Macaca fascicularis: one gene and its partners. The main gene of each other region encodes a partner of the protein of the gene in region 5 in a complex. Links are inferred from orthologs where the notes say so. Each region holds a gene or a part of one and is shown on either strand. Other genes may lie near its edges.

The links. Proteins that work in one complex are often made in the same cells at the same time.
Region 1: the proteins of SNAP25 (region 5) and NAPA are in contact, whole or in part, in a cryo-EM structure (PDB 6MDM), measured with the Rattus norvegicus proteins. The link is inferred for Macaca fascicularis from reciprocal best matches to the Homo sapiens genes SNAP25 and NAPA. Residues at the interface, in NP_112253.1 of Rattus norvegicus: Glu37, Lys40, Asp41, Ile44, Arg45, Leu47, Asp51, Glu52, Glu55, Gln56, Arg59, Glu62, Gln152, Asn159, Met163, Asp166, Glu170, Thr173; in NP_542152.1 of Rattus norvegicus: Lys122, Glu155, Glu156, Ser157, Asn158, Ser159, Ser160, Asn162, Pro196, Leu197, Leu198, Tyr200, Ser201, Lys203, Asp204, Ala234, Phe235, Ser236, Arg239, Ser268, Ile269, Ser270.
Region 2: the proteins of SNAP25 (region 5) and RPH3A are in contact, whole or in part, in a crystal structure (PDB 5LOW), measured with the Rattus norvegicus proteins. The link is inferred for Macaca fascicularis from reciprocal best matches to the Homo sapiens genes SNAP25 and RPH3A. Residues at the interface, in NP_112253.1 of Rattus norvegicus: Glu38, Asp41, Ile44, Arg45, Leu47, Val48, Met49, Asp51, Glu52, Glu55; in NP_598202.2 of Rattus norvegicus: His617, Ser618, Ala621, Ile648, Ser649, Ala650, Lys651, Gly652, Leu655, Tyr659, Leu662, Lys663, Lys665.
Region 3: the proteins of SNAP25 (region 5) and VAMP3 are in contact, whole or in part, in a crystal structure (PDB 5KJ8), measured with the Rattus norvegicus proteins. The link is inferred for Macaca fascicularis from reciprocal best matches to the Homo sapiens genes SNAP25 and VAMP3. Residues at the interface, in NP_112253.1 of Rattus norvegicus: Asp147, Leu150, Glu151, Val153, Ser154, Ile157, Leu160, Arg161, Ala164, Leu165, Met167, Gly168, Ile171, Asp172, Gln174, Asn175, Ile178, Asp179, Ile181, Met182, Ala185, Asp186, Asn188, Lys189, Ile192, Ala195, Asn196, Ala199, Thr200, Met202; in NP_476438.1 of Rattus norvegicus: Ser15, Arg18, Leu19, Gln21, Thr22, Gln25, Val26, Glu28, Val29, Ile32, Met33, Asn36, Lys39, Val40, Glu42, Arg43, Lys46, Leu47, Glu49, Leu50, Arg53, Ala56, Leu57, Gly60, Ala61, Gln63, Phe64, Ser67, Leu71, Lys74.
Region 4: the proteins of SNAP25 (region 5) and SYT1 are in contact, whole or in part, in a crystal structure (PDB 5KJ8), measured with the Rattus norvegicus proteins. The link is inferred for Macaca fascicularis from reciprocal best matches to the Homo sapiens genes SNAP25 and SYT1. Residues at the interface, in NP_112253.1 of Rattus norvegicus: Lys40, Asp41, Ile44, Leu47, Val48, Asp51, Glu52, Glu55, Gln56, Arg59; in NP_001028852.2 of Rattus norvegicus: Cys277, Arg281, Lys288, Val292, Leu294, Glu295, Asn336, Tyr338, Asn340, Arg398, Arg399, Pro400, Ala402, Trp404.

The regions. Positions count from the first base shown.
Region 1 is NC_088393.1:55,533,661-55,537,776, reverse strand, and holds the start of NAPA (alpha-soluble NSF attachment protein), read left to right. Parts: upstream 1-1,316; 5' UTR 1,317-1,446; coding exon 1,447-1,544; intron 1,545-4,116. UniProt on the Homo sapiens protein: Required for vesicular transport between the endoplasmic reticulum and the Golgi apparatus. Together with GNA12 promotes CDH5 localization to plasma membrane.
Region 2 is NC_088385.1:119,501,871-119,505,956, reverse strand, and holds the start of RPH3A (rabphilin-3A), read right to left. Parts: upstream 2,801-4,086; 5' UTR 2,717-2,800; intron 1-2,716. UniProt on the Homo sapiens protein: Plays an essential role in docking and fusion steps of regulated exocytosis.
Region 3 is NC_088375.1:227,099,272-227,103,287, forward strand, and holds the start of VAMP3 (vesicle-associated membrane protein 3), read right to left. Parts: upstream 2,801-4,016; 5' UTR 2,713-2,800; coding exon 2,711-2,712; intron 646-2,710; coding exon 576-645; intron 1-575. UniProt on the Homo sapiens protein: SNARE involved in vesicular transport from the late endosomes to the trans-Golgi network.
Region 4 is NC_088385.1:85,716,458-85,720,726, reverse strand, and holds the start of SYT1 (synaptotagmin-1), read right to left. Parts: upstream 2,801-4,269; 5' UTR 2,442-2,800; intron 1-2,441. UniProt on the Homo sapiens protein: Calcium sensor that participates in triggering neurotransmitter release at the synapse. May have a regulatory role in the membrane interactions during trafficking of synaptic vesicles at the active zone of the synapse.
Region 5 is NC_088384.1:77,140,275-77,144,551, reverse strand, and holds the start of SNAP25 (synaptosomal-associated protein 25), read left to right. Parts: upstream 1-1,477; 5' UTR 1,478-1,834; intron 1,835-1,842; exon of another isoform or gene 1,843-2,124; intron 2,125-4,277.

The sequences.
Region 1 (4,116 bases), on a different chromosome or scaffold from region 5:
TGGCATACCCCCTAATTTTGTGTGTGAGCACACGTGTGGAATACTTCCTTCCTCTCTGGCACTACAAAGTGATACTGCGGTGAGCTATGATTGTGCTGCCGCACTCCAGCCTGGGCGACAGAGTGAGACCCTGTCTCCAAAACCAACAACCCAAAGAGTGAGACCTGTCTCAAAAACCAACTACTCAATTTTCTGGGGCAGCAGGAGGTGTGTTTGAATCTGAACTTTTTTTTTTTTTTAGAGACAGAGTCTTGCTATGCTGCCCAAGGCGGGACTTGAACCGGACTCAAACTCCTGGGCCCAAGCGATCCTCCCGCCTCCGCCTCCCGAGTAGCTGGGATTACAGGCACCAGACACCGCGCCCATCTTCGAATCGGAATTTTTTAACACGCTGTCTTCAGCTTTTTTTTTTTCCTAAGTCTCACTCTGTCACCCAGGCTGAAGTGCAGTGGCACGATCTCGGCCCACTGCAACCTCCACCTCCTCGGTTCAAGCGATTCTCCTCCCTCAGACTCCCGAGTAGCTGGGATTACGGGCGTGAGCCACCACACCCGGCTAATATTTGTATTTTAGTAGAGCGGGGTTTCGCCATGTTGGCCGGGCTGGTCTCAAACTCATGACCTCAGGTGAGCCGCCCGCCTCGGCCTCCTAAAGTGCTGGGATTACAGGCGTGAGCCACCACGCCCGGCCCTCTTCATCTATTTTTTATGAAACCAGAGTTAGAGAACCTCTTAAGTTTTTGTTTCCAGTCTCTCAACTACTTCACCGGTCTCCCCAAAGCAGTTCCAGTACTGGCCGGTAGAGGGAGCAAGAAAAAGCAGAACGGTTTCCTTTTCCCACAAACGCTTTTCCAAGTGAAGAAACGGGCGAGACCAGCCGTGGGGCGGGACTAAGCTCTGCGCAGAACTGTCAAACCCGGGCTTGGGCCCCGAGTTGTCACGTGAGTGTCCGCGGTCAGCTGACTCTGCCGGAGTACTTCAGGGAGGGCGCGGGGTGGCCCCCCTAACAACGCGAGCCGAGGGCTGCTGCTGATTGGTGGAGGAGGATCCAGCGGCAACACCGTGGGGCGGGGCCTCGGCGGTGAGTATTGCCATTGCCTTCCGCAGGGTCACGTGGGAGGTGAGGTACAGAGCGCTGAGGAGAAAGTGGGGCGTCGTTGTCCTGTGTGTGCGCATGCGTTGAGGTCTCGGGACGCCGATTGGGGGGTCCCGAGTCACGGGCGGCTTGCGGCGGCTGGTGGGGGCGTGGCCGGCGGAGCGGGCGCCGCGCTACGAGGCCTCTGGTTGGCCAGCGCGAGTCACGTGATTCCGGGCCGCAGGCGCCGCGCGCCGGTGCGACGTCAACGCAGCCGGGCGACTTCTCCCGATCTGTGTTCCGCGGCCCGGCCGCGGCTGAGTCTTCCCAGGGCCAGTGTCGGGCGCTTTGCTGAGTCCTTTTGTGGCCGCCATGGACAATTCCGGGAAAGAAGCGGAGGCGATGGCGCTGTTGGCCGAGGCGGAGCGCAAAGTGAAGAACTCGCAGTCCTTCTTCTCTGGCCTCTTTGGGTGAGAACCGGGCTGAGGGGTCGGCCGGGACCTAGGCTGAGAGGACGAAGGAGTCACGGTCGGAGGTGGCGGGTTAGGGCACGCAGAGCTCGGGCCGAGGGGACGGAGAGGAACCTGGAATGAGGTGACTTGGCCTGAAGCGGCAGAGGCTACACAGGCTGAGGGCCAAGAGCCTGGGCCGGGGCAACACGGTTTGAGGAGAGACGGTCTGACATGGCGGAAGGGATTTGGGCTGAGGACACATGGACAGAGGCGACCCTGTCTTGAGGCGAGGAAGGGGACCCAGGCCGAAGACAGGCCAGCGGGAGGGGGAGAACCTGAACCGAGGGAATACGTCCTGAAGCCTTGGAGGGGACCGGCTTGGGGGCAGGGAGGGAGTCCGCGAGATAAGCCAGGTCCGGAGGCTTTTCAGAGCTCTAGGGGAATGTGAAGGCTCTCGGGCGGCAGTGATGGGGCCTGGGGCTGAGGACGCCTGCCCGAGGGACTGACCTTTTCATCCCCCGGGGCAGTGGATTTGCGTGGGCCCTGGGCAGTGAGGGTGAAGGCTGAAGGGGGCTGACACCTTTGGAGGGGCTCAGGGCTTAGATGATCCTAGGAGCAGTGAGCTGCGTCTGAAGTGTGGGGGGTGCCTGGGGTGAGTACGGCCCTGGTTAGCAGTGACTAGTTTAAGGACAGCTGAGCAGAGGAACCGGGATGATGGAGTCAAGACTGTGGCGGTCTCAGCCCTTTGGGAGGCCGAGGTGAGTAGATCATCTGAGGCCGGGAGTTCGAGACCAGCCTGACCAACATGGTGAAACCCCGTCTCTACTAAAAATACAAAAATTAGCTGGGCCTGGTGGCGGGTGCCTGTAATCCCAGCTACTCGGGAGGCTGGGGCAGGAGAATCACTTGAACCCAGGAGGCGGAGGTTGCAGTGAGCCGAGATCACGCCTCTGCACTGCACTACAGCCTGGCAACTGAGTGGGACTCCGTTTCAAAAAAAAAAAAAAAAAAGGAAAGAAAAAAACCTGAGGAGGCCTGGGTTGAGGCCGGAGACTCCTGGGTGGGGGAACGCGTGGTGGTGGCTTGGCCAAGGAGATGGAGGGATAACAGGGAGAGACGGGGACTGAGAGAATCAAAACTGGGGATCAAATTCCTGCTGTGTGATCCTCGAGTAATGGGGATGACAGGAACATGCTGAGAAGAGGGATGGGAAAAGGCTTGGGAGACAGAACTAACGCATGTGACATGGCATAAAACTCACGGTAGCTCCTAAAAGCTGACACCACCATCCTGTGATAATTTTAGTGGCTTAAAAGTATTAAGAGCCCAGGTTTGAAATGTGGCTCTGCCACTTACTTCATGACTTTGGGTAAATGGTTTAGTCTCCCTGTTAAAGGAGATCACAAATCTAACCTGCCTCCCATTTGCTGTGAGTGTTAGAATTGAGCCTGGCGTGGAGTTACATCTCTGAGAGTGTTAGCTATTGTTAATGGACTTCCCAGAAGGAAGCAGGTTTGGAGTGTGCAGAGAGCTGATGGGGTTCAAGGTGGGCGCCCGAGAGGAGAGGTCTGGGAGGGGTCAGGAGAGGGAGAGACAGAAACATGGGTGTGCTAAGAGGAGCTGAAAGGGAGCAGTAAAGGGAGCCACGAAGACTTAGTAGGGTTGAGAGGAGCATGAGGCTCTGGGCAGAGGAAGTAAAGGGAGTTTGGCAGGGGGTGGTGGTGTGTGGGGGGGGTGGGATCTGTGCTGATGGGGGGACCCGAAAAGGTCAAGGGGAGGCTGTGGAAACTGAGGGGAGGACTGGGAAAGGACTAGTGGACTTGTAGAGAGAACGGTCTGTGGTGGCCCCTCAGAAGCAGAGCCTGGGGAAGTTGGTGGGACTGGGAGTGTCTGCAGAAGGCTGGAGAAGGGGGTTTGGGAGGAGGGCCTGGGGATGGGAAGAGACTGGGGTAGGAGCCTGGCAGAGGCCGGTAAGACACAAAGGGGAGGGATCTTTCCAAGAGAGGAAGGAACAGGAAAAGGGCTCTGGGCCACGCCCCTTGTTTGAGGTTGGATAATGTTTAGCAAAAGAACTTGAAGAACATGATGGTGAATTGCCTGGTGTGGAGAAACATCTGGGGCTGATGGACTGTATTGATTAGGTGAAAAATATTTTATTTTAGAGGCTGCGAGGAGACAGAGGGTGTGTGTGTGTTTTCTTTTTCTTCACAAGGGGAGAAGTTCAGGTGCTGTGTTTGGGGGTGGGGCCACGAGCTGGATTTTTGGTGATAGTTTTCCTAGGTGGCTCTGGGTGTCTGGTCCCTTTGGCCCAGGGATTAGTGGGCTGTTGGACTGTGTGCTTGGAGGGAGCAGCTAAGTCAGCCCCAAGGCACTTGCTACCTGGTTGGGAAGGCAGGATGCACAGCAAATGCTAGTAAAGTGGAATTACCTACTGTAAGGAAGGGCTCGATTATATCATTCCTGTGACTGTCTGAGCTCAGAGGAAGCAGTGTGAACCAGGGGGAAGCTCATGGTGAGGAGTGAGCTAGGTCCCAAGGAACCACAGGACTTGCTGGGGAGTGGGGCCAGGGAGGGTGCTCTAGGCAGCAGG
Region 2 (4,086 bases), on a different chromosome or scaffold from region 5:
CTAAGAGACTGAACCTCTACTTTACTTGAGTTAATTACATTTGATTCAGTACTTCCTGAATATCATGATGTGAAATACAGTATGTGTGACATGTGGGAATATAAGAATGAGGAAGACAGAGCTATGGCTCCCAAAAAACTTGAAGACTAGGCCAGGCACAGTGGCTCACACCTGTAAGTTTAGCACTTTGGGAGGTTGAGGCAAGAGGATTGCTTAAGCCCAGGAGTTCAAGACCAACCTGGCCAACAAAGTGAGGCCCCATCTCTACAAAAAAAAAAAAAAAAAAGAAATCAAAAAATTAGCTGAGCATGATGGTGTCAGAGGCATTTGAACCAGAGCAACTTCATCTTGAATAGGGGCTGGGTAAAATAAGGCTGAGACCTACTGAGCTGCATTCCCAGAAGGTTAGGCATTCTAAGTCACAGGATGAGATAGGAGGTCGGCACAAGATACAGGGCAAAAAGACTTTGCTGATGAAACAGCATACGGTAAAGAAGCCGGTCAAAACCCACCAAAACCAAGATGGCGACCAAAGTGACCTCCGATCATCCTCACTGCTCATTATATGCTAATTACAATGCATTAGCATGCTAAGAGACACACTCACCAGCAGCATGACAGTGACAAATGCCATGGCAACATCAGGAAGTTACCCTACCTGGTCTAAAAAGGGGAGGAACCCTCAGTTCTAGAAATTGCCTACCGCTTTCCTAGAAAATTCGTGAATAATCTGCCCCTTGTTTACCATAGAATCAAGAAGTAGCAGTAAGTACAAGCAGGTGAGCAGCCCATGCTGCTGCTCTGCCCATGGAGTAGCCATTCTTTATTCCTTTATTTTCTTAAAAAACTTGCTTTCACTTTACTCTATGGACTCGCCCCAAATTCTTTTTAGCGTGAGATCCAAGGACTCTCTCTTGGGATCTGGATCGGAATCCCTTTCTGGTAACAGTGGCACATGCCTGTGTTACTAGCTTCCCAGGAGGCTGAGGCAGAAGGATAGCTTGAGCCCAGGAGGTCGAGGCTGCAATGAGCCATTTTCATGCCACTGCACTCCAGCCTGGGGGACAAAGAGAGAGATTGTATTTTAAAAAAAAAAAAAAAAAAGGAAAATCTATTGAAAAAAATACAGTAAGTTAAAAAAAAAAAAAAAGTTTTACAAGAGGGAATAGCTCAGGGCCCCAGGGCCCTGATAAGAGTAAGACCAGTGTGAACACTGTCATTTTTTTGTATAGCCACACCTTCCAAAATAAACTTCTTCCCTTCACCAAAATTCTTCCCTGCACTAAATTATGTGGGGCCAGATCTGAGCTTCAGGGGTGTGAAAATAAGAACTCAGGGCTGGCTGCAGTGACTCATGCCTGTAATCCCAGCACTTTGGGAGGCCAAGGCAGGCAGATAACCCGAGGTTAGGAGTTTGAGACCAGCCTGGCCATCATGGCAAAACCCTGTCTCTACTAAAAATACAAAAATTAAGGCCGGGTGAGGTGGCTCACGCTTGTAATCCCAGCACTTTGGGAGGCCGAGGCAGGTGGATCACCTGAGGTCAGGAGTTTGAGACCAGCCTGGCCAACATGGTGAAATCCCATCTCTACTAAAATATACAAAAATTAGCCAGGTGTGGTGGTGCATGCCTGTAGTCCCAGCTACTCAGGAGGCTGAGACAATAAATTGGACAGTCTGGCCACACAGGGTCTGCGATTCTGCCTGGCAGCCGTTAAATCTCCCTAGTGGGGCTCCTGGTGACCCCCACAGCTCATCTGCTCAGCACAGCACAGTGGTTAAGAGCCAGGACTCTGGAGCCACCTGCCTGGAGTCCCACCCTGACTTGGCACTTGCTACTCATGTGATCTTGGGTAAGCGACTTTCACCTTGCCTACCTGTTTCCCTATCTGTAAAATCACAGTCATCACAAGTAGCAAGTTCAGGGGGCGTGGTGAGGATTCAATGAATGAATAACTATAGACAGCGCCTGGTGCATAGTTGAAATCAGGTAAGAGTTGGACCCATTGTGCATCTGCCTGGCCCCATGTGCATCCCAGTTTGCAACCCCTGGTTTAGGAGGTGAAATAAAAAGGATATATTGTCGGGATGGGGTTTGGGTAGGGGGCGGAGATGCCCTCTGATTAACTACAGAAACCCTGATCCAGGGAACGTGCTATGACCTGGAGTGGGAGTGAGGATGCAGGTAAAAATCAGACACACTGTGACTCTAGTGCCCAGATTTCAGCACTTTCTGAGTTTCCCGTCTTCCTACCCCTTCGAAAGATCCTTGACCAAAGCCCGATGCGGGGTCCCAGCCGGCTCCAGGAGATGCACACATCCACCCTGGGTAAAGGCGCACATCACGGGTGGGTAAAGGCGCACATCCGACACCCCGTGGCTACCGGAGAGGAGCTACCTCGCCACAGCCACCCCGCGACCACCTGTTTCCCTCTCGGAGACTCGCAGGAGTAGCCACGTTGGGGGCCCCTGCCGGGACCCGCCCCTCAAAATCCCAAAGGATAGCGCGGGTCCCGCGCCGTCTCCCCGCCCCCAAGTCCCTCGTCGCCCCACCCCCGGTTCTAGCGCATCCTCCCGCTCCAGCAGCCCCATTCCGGGAGGCAGCGTCCCGCGTCCCCGCCGCGCCCCCACGGGACCCCCCACGGCCCCCTAAGCCAGCACGTGCTGCAGCTCGGGAGGGCAGGACCTGGTGGCCCTCAGCCCCCGCTCGCCTTACCCGCCTGCAGCGTTGATGGGCCCGTCCCTCCGCCGCCTCCAGTGGTGTCGCCTCTTCCACCGCTGCCACCACCGCGGCAAAGCCACCAGCGCGTGACCCTCGAGCACCAACACCACCCCCCGCCAGGCTCTGCCCTTAAATGTGGGAACAACCGACGATCCTCATCCCCCCACTAGAGGGAAGCTCAGAAAGGGTTAACAAGCCAAGATCAAGGGTTAGGAACACCACTGCCACCTTCCTCCACCAACCCTCTACCTTCTCCATCACCCCCTCTCCCTCTTCTTCCTCCTTCTCCCTCCTCCACCTTCATTACCCCTTCTCCCTCCTCCACCACCCCCTCCCTCCTCCACCACCCCCTCCCTCCTCCATCTTCATCACTCCCTCTCCCACCCCCTCTCCCTCCTCCACCACCCCCTCTCCCTCCTCCACCACCCCCTCTCCCTCCTCCACCACTCCCCTCCCTCCTCCATCTTCATCATTCCCTCTCCCACCCTCTCGCCCTCCCCCACCACCCCTTCTCCCTCCTCCACCTTCATCACCCCCTCTCCCTCCTCCACCTTCATCAGCCCCTTCTCCCTCCTCCACCACCCCCTCTCCCTCCTCCACCACCCCCCTCTCCCTCCTCCACCCCCTCTCCCTCCTCCACCAACCCCTCTCTCTCCTCCACCTTCATCACCCCTTCTCCCTCCTCCACCACCCCTTCTCCCTACCCCACCACCCTTTCTCCCTCCTCCACCTTCATCACTCCCTTTCCCCCCCTCCCTCCTCCACCTTCATCACTCCCTCTCCCTCCTCCACCACCCCCTCTCCCTGCTCTACCTTCATTACTCCCTCTTCCTCTTCCACCACCTCCTCTCCCTCCTCCACCTCCCACTCTCCTCTTCCTCTCTCTCCCTCCTCCATGCCCCCTTCCTCCACCACCCCTTCCCTCCTCAACCACCTCTTCTTCCTCCTCCATCACCCCCTCTTTCTTCTCCACTACTCCCACCCCCTCCTTCCTCCACCTCCACTACCCTCTCCCTCTTCCACGCCCCCTCCCTCCTCCACCCCATCCCTCTTCTACCTCCACCACCCCCTTCCTCCTCCTCCCCTTTCCCTCTTCCACCACCCCTCTCCCTCCCCCATCACACCTCTCCCTCCCCACCACACCTCTCCCTCCCCTACCACCCATCTGTCTCCCCCACCACCTCTCCCTCCTCCACCACCCCTCCCCCCACCCCCTCTCCCTCCTCCACCACCCCTTTCCCTCTCCCTCCTTCACCACCCCTTTCCCTCCCCCACCACCCCTCTCCCTCCCCCACCACCCCTCTCCCTCCCTCACCACCCCTCTCCCACCTCCACCACCCCTTCTACAGTTGGGTTTCTCTAAG
Region 3 (4,016 bases), on a different chromosome or scaffold from region 5:
GTTCTCCACATACAGTGCAGAACAAAAGATGAAGGTCCTCTAGCTCAAGAATTCTACAAATAGAGATTTGCTGGGCTAATGGAGTTTGACAGTATCTACTTTGTGTGAGTCAGTGGACAGCCATTAGAGATGAATTCTACAGAGAGGCTTGCTCAGGCTGGATAACTAGTAAGTGGACAAAGCATTTTGATAAAAAATCTGATCAGAAGAACTGGTCTTGGCTTGAGCAATCTAAAGACCTAATCCTAACATTGTATTATCCTATTTTATAAAGTGGTTCTTGGGGAATACACTCAGGGAGTGGTGTTCATGTTTTAAGCATATGATTTTTTATTTTTCCTGAGCTAAATGTTATGAGCAGGTATGTGATTCTACCACAGGAAAACAAGCATGAAACCTAGAAAGTCTGACTTTTGCTTAGATCTTCCAGCACAGCAGGGAGCAAAGTTTTGTTACAATTATGATACAGTCAGAATTTGCTTTACATTCACACTTTCATGATACTTTTTCTAAACAGATTTCCAGAGTGCTCATACTTGTTTAAAATTCATATTTCCAACATTTCAGAGCAATACCTCATCTACTTGATTTTGTGTCTGCTGAAGTCTTCGATTACTGCCAGGGGCAGCAGTTGGACCTGTAGACCTGGAACATGTAAAGGCAGGAGCATGAGTAAATTATGATTCCAAATACATTTTCTTAAGTATAAAGAAGTTACTCCAGGACTCTCACTGTTAACAATTTCTTACATTAGAACTAAAGCAGAAAAAGAAATTCTTCCTGAAGCAATGAACAAAAGTTTTAATTACATTTCTTCTAATTTCTCTATAATTTCCAAGACTGTCCCACCTACTAAAGGGACAAACGTGAAGGTTTAATAGGACCTACTTTGTATCCCTGAAGTATCTGATCCCACGACAGGTAAACTCTACTGTCCTTTTTTGAAACTTGTTCTAAGGCACACATCTGCTTGAACGTACTCAGTACTCTCCTGATCTTTTCATTGTGGCAGGAACTGTTTTCATAGTTATAAACAGTTATAGAATGCCCTTTTTCCAATATAGAAAAATAGATTAATTTACAGAAACAGAGTCAGGAACACTGGGATGCAGGGAGCGGTTGGTGTGAGTGGAAAGGTGTGTTGAAGCAATGCTTCCCCTTTTAGGAAGGTACTCTTTTTTTTTTTTTTTTTTCCTCTTTTGAGAGACGGAGTTTCCCTCCTGTTGCCGAGGCTGGAGTGCAATGGTGTGATCTCGGCTCACTGCAACCTCCGCTTCCTGGGTTCAAGCAATTCTCTTGCCTCAGTCTCCCAAGTAGCTGGGATTACAGGCATGCACCACCACGCCCGGCTAATTTTGTATTTTTAGTAGAGACGGGGTTTCACCATGTTGGTCAAGCTGGTCTTGAACTCCTGACCTCAGGTGATCCATCTGCCTCGGCCTCCCAAAGTGCTGGGATTACAGGCATGAGCCAGCGCGCCCGCCCCGGGAAGGTACTCATCTTTTAAAATCTTCATCAAAGGCTTTATTTCTCCTCATGCAGATCCTTCTTAACCACTCTGACTCTGAAGTCATTATTGGCTCCATTACTTGGAAAGTATCACTTTGGTTTTTCAGGTATAAAGTCCTGCCTCCTCGAATAGATTACAGGTTCCTGGGTCTTCTTACTCTCTTCTCTGTATCCTAGATAGCACCTAGCATGTACCTTAGTATACAACAGTCTGATGGACTGTTTGAACAGTCACTTTACATCTGTCATGTGTCAATGACCAGGGCTACAACAGATCTCATCGCCGTCCTCACAGAGTTTAGTGTCTGGTAGATAAGTAAGGACCATGCCGTGGTGCTAGACTCTTTTCATGCATTTTCTCCTTCAACTCTCATAACTCTCTGAGGGGAATATTACTCCCATTTTACAGATAAGTAAAGTGAGGTTTAAAAAGTCAACACAGCTGGCTGCCGTTCAGATTGTTTTTAGATCAGGTCCTGTGTACCTGGGATCTAGATCTTAACCACTGTGATCTATTGACACAGCAGCCTCAGCAGGAACATTCGAGGGGGGGTCCCCAACTCCTGGAAGAAACCCGGGGCTTCCTCCGACGGTGAGCAATGAACAGAATGGAGGTGGAAGAGAGGGTCCTTGTGATTCTTAACCATGAACATTCTCTGAGCGTTACCACTGGAAGCACCGGTTTGCAAGGGCCACAAGAGCGCTTTCGCTTAAGAGTGCGAAGGCCCACGGTTAAGTGATCTTTCCAGTGCAGATGCCCCTAGCCAGGCAAGGAGCTCTTGGGCCCACAGGGGCTCAGCACAGGGCCGAGGTCCTTTCTTTTGCAACTTCCGGGGCCCAACTGGGCCGAGAGCCGGCCCTCCCGAACCAGGGCAGTCGTCCCCGTTCCTCTCCGGGACCTCTGGGACTAGAACGGGAAGGGGCGAGGAGCGGGGTGCGGGCGGGCAACTCACTTCCTCCGGGAAGCGCCTCGCCACCCCGCCCTCGCCCCTTCCGCGTCCGCCCCATGGCAGCGGAACCCGCCCGGGCCGTCTGCAGCCCGCGCCCCAAGGGCTACCGCCCACCCCCAGGCCTCGGGATCCCCGCGCAGCCCCGGCCTGCGTCCGAGCGGCGGCCGGCGGCAACTGGGCGGTACGGCGATCCCAGCGCGAGCTGCCGCCTGCGGGGCCCGAAGCCGCCCGCGTCGCGCAGCGTCACTCACATTTTGGCAGCGGCGGCGGCGGCGGCGGCGAGCGAGGGTCAGCAGAGCAGCGAAGTAGGGACCGGAGGCCAAGGAGATGGGCGGAACGGCGCGACTCCGGGCAAAGACGTCACTAGGCAGGGCCGGCGGGAGTGGGCGGGGCGCAGAGGGGGCGCGCCGGAAGTGGGCGGGGGCGTCGTGGGCGGGCGCGTCGTGGCGGGCTCGTCCAGGGCGGGGTCAGAGCGAGATGTCCACTCCCTGGACTAGGTCACTTGGGAACTTGAGGGCCACAGGGGTCCCAGGGCGGTCCGGGCTCTGAAACGCAGAGTGCAGGTCAATACAGCTTCCTCTCTGCACCGCGGCCCGCGCTGGCGCTTGGGGACGTGGTCTGCAAACGTGGCGCATTAGGCACTGGCTGGGGACTGTGTGGATAAGTGAGGGTGGGCGCAACTCATGTTATTCTGGGCTCGGGACCATTTCTCTCTAACAGTATTAGAGACAGATGATTGGCTTCTGCTGAATGTTCCAGATTAACCTAGTGATCCCGAGGGCACCATGTTTCTCTGAGAAAGTAGTTGAAATAGGAAGTCCATTTCAGGTATTTGTCACATGGGGTTGGGTTAGGTTCCCGCTCATGTTTTCCTCGGTAACACAAATATTTGTCCCTGCAGATCATATTATAATCTGCTTACGAGAGCCTTGGCATCAAGACTGTAGTTCCTTCATTTCTGTATTTTTAGGCCCTAACACAGAATAGGTCCTCAGGTTTTGGTCGAAGGGAGGGAAGCACAAATCTGAACGCAGTGAGTTACCTTGTATATATTTGTCACTGAAATATTCCTACCAACACAGTTACCGACATCAAAAAATAAAACACTATAGGTGTTTGGTCATTGGTGGGTCTCTTAAATGAGAAGTGAAAAATACAGTACTTAAATACTATGCTGTTTTTTCCAACTCTAAATAGAATACTTCGAAAAGGGAAACATTCGTATATATTCGAATAAACGAGACTGTCACAAAGGCGGTGGGATTTGAGCTGGGTACTAGCAGAAAAGAACTTTCCAGTAAGGGTTGGACAAACACCATGAACAAAGACAGCAGTGAAAATGGACGCAGTGTGCACAGACCACCTACAGGGTGCAGGTTGGGTACAAGTGAAAAGAAGACTGAATAAAGAGGGTAAACAAGAAAAATGTCATTTGATTGTAGTGGGCCCTGGAAACCATTGACTCACGGACTTGGGAGATCCGTGCTGCACAATTTCTCTGGCAGTAGCGGCCAGATGGATCAGATGGAAGAGGGAGCACTAGGGAGATAAGGAGAG
Region 4 (4,269 bases), on a different chromosome or scaffold from region 5:
AAAAATAAAGACTGTATAAAATTGTGACATTAGACTGTTTTGTGGGATAACAGAACAAGAATTTCCTATAATGTATCATTTAAGGTCTCTCCACAATCCACTCACAATATATTGGAATTAGTTCTGATTTCTAATATATAGATATTGAATTTTTTAGAAGTATGTGAAAAACTACTGATATCCATCTTTTTAGATGTTATTTCTATAATTAACATTTGTAAAGAGTCATGAAAATAAATGTCACAAACCAAGCCTAAATTTTCACATATTCCTAAGACAGTGGAGAAATGAGACAACAAAATCTTATTTTTCTCACATGAAGTCAGCTGGCTTCCTTTTTGTACATCTTTTCGTGTCTAAACTTGTTAATTCAGTTGTACATACACATGAGGTAATTAAGTGATTGTCCCTTTGTCCTTGTAACCAAAAGGTGGCACCTCTAAAAACCAGAGTTAGCTTTCAACAGAGACAGTATTTTTTTTAAGTCATTTAAATGTCAAAGCCCTAGAAAGAGAATCCTTTTTCCTGACTTGGTAATTCTGCTTAGGTCGGAGGGATCATTGCCTCAAATGCAAAATGGTTTGGAAATAGTACACATTACGCTGATGGCAAATGAATCCAGCTCTTCTCTAAGTTGGTGTGTAAACTTATACATTAAAGATACATAGTGAAAAAATACTCTCTGAGATACAAATTAGTGTAGAAGGTCAGGCAGAGTTAGGATAGAAGATTCCCTTTTCTTATATCAAGTGGACTTCTAGAAAAAAAAAGTAAGACTGCATTTCCCCTTATACATAAAAATAAGTGTTTTGTATACTAACATCTGCTGATTTTTCTGTGTTCAGGTAAGACCCACTTGGAATGCTTTCCTATTACATCAAACGAGGCACTTCTCTATACCTCCTTCCATCTGACAGTACTATCGCTTCGCTGTCCCTGATGAATACTAAGAAAATAAAGCTTATATCCCCAATGATGGAATTAGAGACTGCTGAAGCTGCTGTAAAGGCTCTGTCCAACAAGTACCATTTACTTGACCTATTATGCAGGCAGCCAGGGGCATGTTGCTGTTTTGATATATTTTTCTTTCTTTTAACAAGACGTTACAAAAATGTTTTCCCCTTCAGGATTTTTAAAATTTAGGCTATCTTTCTAGCATTACTTTCTAAACTTTGTTCCAATACAGGAGGATTCTTGTCCAGCTGAGCCTCCATGTGCCTTCTAAAGGGAGTGCTGAAATTGTACAAACATCATGTTTACATCCATTAAATATCCTCCTATTAAAAGAAAATAAAGCCAGGCATAAGTTTGGTATCCAGACAATAAAATTCAAATAGATAGTAGAAAGATAGAATAAAGTGAAAATTCATACACAAATGTAGCTTCCACACAAAAGTTAAACAGTTGCTTTATTTCACCAAAGGGTTAATACTGGAGAAAGTGAACATCAACATGTACACAAAGCTAACTAGAAGATTAGCTTTCTCAAAGTAGAAATCCAAGCCTCCCTATAAAACTGTTGTCCCTTGCAAATGTTTTGAAACTTTACATTTTTTGATCCCCCAACAACAGACCATACCAAGAAACCTCAGGAAAGTAATAATCTATTTTTAATTGTGTTTTTTTTCTTACTCAAGAAACCTTTCAAAGTTCAGATATTAACACTGATGTGCAATACCAAATTGTCAGTCCCACAGGACAGATGGAAACAGGAAAAGTCAGATGGTTGGCACTCAAAAGCAACAGCAATTAAGCAGTTGAAAGTGGGTTGGATTGTCGGTTTATTTTTGTTCCATTTGAACGAATCAAGTGAGAGACATAGTCTCTTGCAAGGAGGAAATCAAGTCAAACTTGACGCTTCCCCTCTCTGACAGCCCAAGCTGGTCGGCTTGTCTACTCCCCTTATTCAGTTTAATTGCTTTCTGTGCTCTGATTTTCGCAGAGATTGTATTCTATCTTGTTTACGCCCCAACCCACCCACCCCCATATCCCTCTCCCCAACAGAAAGAAATCTTTCTCCTTTCTTCACTCCCCCTCTTTCCTCTTAAGAAAGGCAATCCTCTCCAGGAGGAGAAAGAAACCCTGTGCGTGCTTAGGGTGGGAGGAGGGCGAGAGGGGAGGTGTGGGAGAGAAAGAGAGAAAAGATTGAGATTGGGGGCGGGGGACAGAGGAGAGAGAACAAGAGAAGGAAAGAGGAAGCAAGAAGATGGGGGATGCCCAATATCAACTCCAAGCTCTAAATCACGGGCGCTGTGCAAAGTGCTTTTCCAGGAGATGCACATGTGGTCTCATATTTCTCACAATAGGCCACCCGGGGATCCCTCCCTAGGTCTCAGACTCCCACCACTAAAATCCAAGTGTATCGAGAAGAAAATCTTTGGGATGGATTCGAGCAGATAGGCACCGCCGAGGTGGCCGCGCCGCCAGTCCCGCTTCCTTACCTGGAGGGCGGACCGGGAGGTGGTGCCGGGTCTCAGTCCCCAGTGCTCTCCCGGCGTGGACCGGCGCGAGGCACACGCGTGCTCTCGCTGCCTCCGCTCTTGGAGGGGCAGCCTGCAACACAAAAGGGGTGTGTGGGTGTGGGTGTGTGGGAGGTTTTCCAGGGCCACCAGCTGGTCCCAGCTGGTCGCCCCCACCCTACACACACCCCTTCGGGGCGCCGAGCCCCCCTCTCGGCTGAGCACCACCCTGGGGGCTTGCCCGGGGTGCAGCCTCAAGTTGCCGCTGCTAACTGCTGCTGCCGCTGCCGCTGCTGCAGGAGGAGGTGGAAAGACACTGGGGGCAGTACTCGTTCTAAAGCATCCCCACACTGCAGCTTCTCCAGGAATCCCTCCAGTGAGGAGGCGGCCGCCCATCATCTCCCAGCCCTAGCATCCTGATTGGCTCCACCTCGGCTACGCTGCGCCAAGAAGCCAATCCCAGCGCACTAATAATAGGTGGATCCGCTCAGCCAACATCTCCCATCCCAGTTCTGTTAGTGTCCCTCCATCCCCACAGCGGACAGGGACCTGGGAAGCGGGGTGGAGGCGGGTTGGGGGAGGGAGTGAAGTAAGAGGGGAACAGATGCCAAGGAGACACAATCAAGGGCATCCGATAAAACCTCTGGGTAGACTCAAGAATGCCCCAAAACCTGTTCAGCAAGCCATATGCACAGGAGAAAGAGAGCGAGCATAATACAAAGCTTTTTTTTTTTTTTTTTTTTTTTTTTTTTACTTTCAATCAAAACCTGCCCTGATACTGAGCATGCCCAGACTGCAACAGCGACCTAGGAGTTTCGACGTGTGTGGGTTTGCCAGCTGTAGGTTTTTGAAAAGCTGGAACCCGGGATAGAAGAGGCAGAAGTTTGTCTTTGGCCATTTAACCCGGCGGAGTTGTGAAAGCTGGGCAGGGTGGGGACATGAAAGGGTTCTGCACAAGTGTCTTCAAACTGAGCCGCGGGGAGGTGGCCCGCCGGGCTGCTGGAGGTTCATCATGCTATTCTTCTGGGGTTCCGGGTTGGAAGCGGGGGCGGGATAAGCTGAGCTTTGCTGGAAGCCTGGAGACTTCCCGCGAAGGGTGTGGTGTTGCCGAGATGCAGGAGAAGCCGCTCCGTCCCATAGGTGGGGCCGGGAACGCGACTCCACCCATGAGCGGCGGCTGCCAGGCCGTGGAGAGTGCACTGGGAGTTTCCATTGCAGCGACCAATAAGTTTGTAGACTTGGGTCAAGTGCGGCATTGCTGGGGATGCTTTTTATTTTTATTTTTTGCCACCTCCCTCCCCCATCTCTCTCGACCCCTTACCAGAGCAGTGACGACTAAAGCACAAATCTCTCCCTGCTTCCTCTCTTCCCAGCTGAACCGTTCTGCTCGGAAGTAAGAAGCTTTTCCCTTGTGAGGGCGGTGGTGACCTGATTGTCTCTAAGCTCTCAGGCAATTTATAGCCTGGTAATACCGAGATACCAAACAGGAAGGCTCAGCGGGTGGGGGAAGGGACCGCGCGCCAGGCAAGGGGCGGGAACGGAGCCCAGCTGGGAGAGGGGCCCGTCCATTATCTGCTCCACAGGTGAAAGGCTTTCAAAACGCAGAGAACTATTTCTCTTTCTCACTCCCTCAACCTCGTTTAAAGGCCTTTGAACCTCTTATTTGTTTTACTTAGAAACCCTAGCATTTTGTGTAAACTTGATCAATAGCTACAAATGAGAACTCACCTAATTGGGTTCTTTATTTTACTGAGAAGATTATCTTGGCATCTCAGGTAGGGAAATAAATAGCTATCTCAATTCCCCAAAC
Region 5 (4,277 bases):
GGAGGAGGAGGGTGCAGGGGAAGAGGTTGTACGCCGCTTTTCCGAACCCAGCTCTAAATGGTTTCTCCTAAGCGAGACAAGGATTTTCCATCGCCTAAAAGAGGCCATCAAGTTTTAACATTGCGAGGCACGACTTCTAATCGCATCCTTCCCGGAAAAGTACAAACAGTTCCTCAGACGAGGTCCCCCACCTCCCACGCGCTCCCCAGCCCGCCCTCCCCGCGGAGAGTCCCGCGACAGCCTCCCCAACACCTGTGAATCATCCGGGACGCTGCCACCGCCGAGCGATCCGCGCACCACCCCCTCCCCAGGCCCGTGCACGGCCAGGGAGGACAGTTAGGATTGTTGCTTTATAATTATCACTTTTAATCTCTAATATGATCAGCACAAGTAGCCTTTGTCTCCCCGCCCTGATTTGAGCATCCTAGGGCCCCCTGAGGCAGCCTGCACGGGTACCCGGGGTTTGCGCATTGAGTGAACCACCAGATTCGGCAGCGTCCCAGCCGTCCTTGCTCTGAAGCCCCCACCTCCTCCTGGCCGTTTGGACAGTTCCCTCGGGGCGTCCGTGCCTCTGTGGGGTACCCCTAAGACACCCAGCACGAAACCCCAGCGCCGACTGCAAATTCCACCCAAAGCAGCGTCATCCGTTTTTGCCCTCGGCAAACAACTCAACTTCAAGCCTCGAGTCCTCGCAAACCCACGCTGGCTGGGCTAACTCCGCTTCCCTTCTCCTTCCCCCGACTCCTGCAACAGCTCAGAGAGCCTGGCTCTGACGTACTTCAAAATAACGTGCGCCAGCCTCGCTCCCCGGCTGACCACAGCAACGAGAGCTGCAAGCCCTCGGCGCTGCTTCGATAACATGAAGCAATCACTCATAAAAATAGCAACCCACGTAGCCTGGCCATATATGGAACTGGCGAGGGTGGACGGGGATGCCCCTCCGGACCCTCTTTGGAGAAAACAAATCGCCGCAGAAATTTCCCCCACCCCTCCCATCACTACCTTTTACCCCCCTCTGCCTTCCCCTCTCCTTAGATGACTCAATCACCGATTCCACTGAAAGGGGGTGGGGGTGGGGGTGGGGGGAAAATATACACACACACACAAATTATACATATATTATACATGTATTATAAAATATATACACACATACATATATATACACGCACATATGTACACACACACACACACACCAAAGAACATCAAGAATGCAGTTGCGGGATGAACGCTTTTGCCCGAGACCGAGTGTTAAAATGGAGTCATAAGAGTCGCCCCTTTTGGGTGTTTATAGGAGGTGAAAACACGGAGGTTTGCAGGGCAGCGCCGGGGAGCCGAGTCAAGCGCGCCGCAGCCCGGGCCCCGCCTCCGCCCCCGCCGGAGCCCCGCCCCCACTTCCTCCCGCCCCTCGCCGGGCGGCTATTAAAAGCTGCTGACGTCAAAACGGACGGCCATCTTTGATGAGGGCAGAGCTCACGTTGCATTGAAGACGAAACCTCGGGGAGGTCAGGCGCTGTCTTTCCTTCCCTCCCTGCTCGGCGGCTCCTCCACACTTGCAACCTGCAGAGGCCCGGAGAACACAACCCTCCCGAGAAGCCCAGGTAAGGAGCCCCCTCCCCAGGTCGTGGTTCTGGCTCGGGATGGCTGCATACCCAGAAGGGACAGCAGCTGGGCATTCCGAGTGGGCTTGGGTAAATACAAGTATTGGTGCACTTAGGGTGCGGTATTCCGTGTGTGCACGTCTGGTGGGGGCTTTATAAAGTGTTTTCGAGGTGAACTGCTGGGGGAAGGGGAAACGGGAGCCCTGCAAATGGAGCGACGGGAAGGAAGAGCGAGGGTACGTACCGAATAATAACTTACTCTTTTGAAACAGTAGTGGGACCCCCTCTTTCTTCCATTTTGCGATGCAGTTTTCAGAGATATTTAGGCTGTTGGGTTCCCCCCCGTCGTTCTAACCCTATTATTTTGACTGTTGTCGTTAGGGTACTATTATCCAGGGAAGAATTAAGGAGGAGGCAGGGTGTGGGTGCTGGGGAAGCGAAAGGAGAAAGGGGGAGTTCCCGCCCCGGGCAAGCTGAGCTGCTGCAGCGACAGCAGCCTCCATGCCCCGCAGACTTGATTTATGCCGCCTGCTCCACGTCAACTGCAGGCTGGCGGGAGGCGGGCGGGTCGTGCCAGGTGGGAGGGCTCTGCGGAGGGCTGGCGCGGGTGGGCTGGCTTCGGGGACTGCGGCGGCCCGCGCTCAGCACCCTGGATAGCAATACCGAGGGCTCGCGCGGGCGCCCTCGACCTTTCAGCACCGGGGACAGCGGTCCGGCCGCAGCGCCGCATCTGCCTGCGGCAGAAATGCCTGGCCAGGGCTGGATGTGCGAGGGCTGGAGACCAAATTGTCTCTCTGAGACCCTGGTCTTACGGGGACCCTTAATAGAGGAGTCATAGTAGGTTAAAAGAAAACAAGAAAGAAATAAATCTTGCTCACAGAGACTCCTTTACAGACAATTTCCTGTTTCCCCTCCTCACCTCCTGCATAGCTTCAACAAAATAATAGTCTACTTGTGGAAATCTATGTTGCCCTCTGACCCTTATTTTAGGTAGAAAATAAATACATTTTTTAAAAAAATAGGCATTTATCCTTCAGCAGGGTATCAAGATTTTTGTTTGGTTTTGTTTTTTAACACAGAGTAGATCTGTCTACAGATCTTGGGTGAGTGTGAGTACTGTATATACAAAGAAGCCAATGCTATCTGTTTATAGGGATGATACATCTCTATGTTTCCATTTGATAGAAATGTGAGATTAGCTTAACTAAGCAGAATCAACTTTAAGAATGAATCACTGTTCCTTTTCCTTCTTCCCCCATCCTTGCAATCAGGCATGAACACAAGTATTCATCCACAAAAACACATATCTGAGAAATTTTGCTTGTCCTGTACTGAATAGATTTAATCTCTTTGGCCATGGTTTCTGAATTACTGGAAGTATTTCCTATCAGCACTGGTTATCACAGGCTGATAGCTTTAGATTTTGACAACATTAAGACTGGTCTTCCTCAGGAGAATCGAAGTGTGTCCTTCAGGGGAACGCAGGTAAAGAACCATGGTGTTAAACTAGAACTGAACTCTGACCTAAAGATCTACTGCAATTTCTCTTATGGCACTGCGGGATTTTGCTGAGGTGGTGATAACTACTTTAACCATTTTCTACTCTGAGGCTTGGAGTATCTGAGAGAGCAAAAGTCATCAGTGATATTTCTCTCTGTTTGATATAGATAAAACTGGCATAAAAATGACCAGTGTCAAAATTATGCCATTTGAGTAGTTAGCAAAAAAGAGTAACAGTGTCATTGTAATAATCTATACAACACATTAAAGAAACGCTATCATGATCCCCTTAAAAGACCCCAAATGAGACCTTGGATTGTGTTCAAATAGTCATACCTCCTATCATCCGTATGCTACAGATACTAAAATTTCCTGTCCATATACAGAAGGTGATTTCATTCCCAGCTATTTAATTATTTCCTAGTGTTTTTTTTTTTATAGATGACTATGTGTTTCCATGTCTGTATATATTGATCTGTTATTGTGCATGGATGTAAAATTATTTGGATGGACATTTATATAAGAGTATGTAAATGTATAAGAGAAGTTTATAACTTTGCAATCTGCAGACAAAAATAAACAACTGTGTTTTAGTGGTAGAGGAGAGAAAATATGGGTAGGAATTTTTTAAAATGCTTTAACTTCATGCTGCATGTCCAGACAGCTGTCTGCGTAGTTGCGTCAAATGAAAAGCCTAATGCTGCCGGAATTACGTGCTTGGACATTAGTAATTACTGCTGGGTTTGTTTGCTAGTGGAAGACTGGGGAGGAGCGGGGGAAGTAGAGGACTGCAGTGAAGATGTCAAAGGGCACAGAGCTGAGAGAAAGAAGCAATGTGCACAATTAGAAAGCTAATTTTAGAATAACTTACTGAGAAATTTCAAAAAATATATCATTGAACCATGAATTTAATATTTATATCATTGACAGCTTCTGGGGAAAAAATTGAGAAATTTCCTATTTTAAGTTTGAATTTTTAAAATCCAGGGCAATGCGGTGAGAAGAGGCAGGAGCAGATGGACATAGGATGAGCCAGGAGTCATTCACACAGACCCTCTGATGCCTGTTTGTTCATCGATATTTACTGCATTACCACCTCAGTGTTCAAATTACAGAATAATTGACAATCCTCTTAACCTCTTCATGGCAGAATCTCCCAAGAATTCACAATTTTATTTT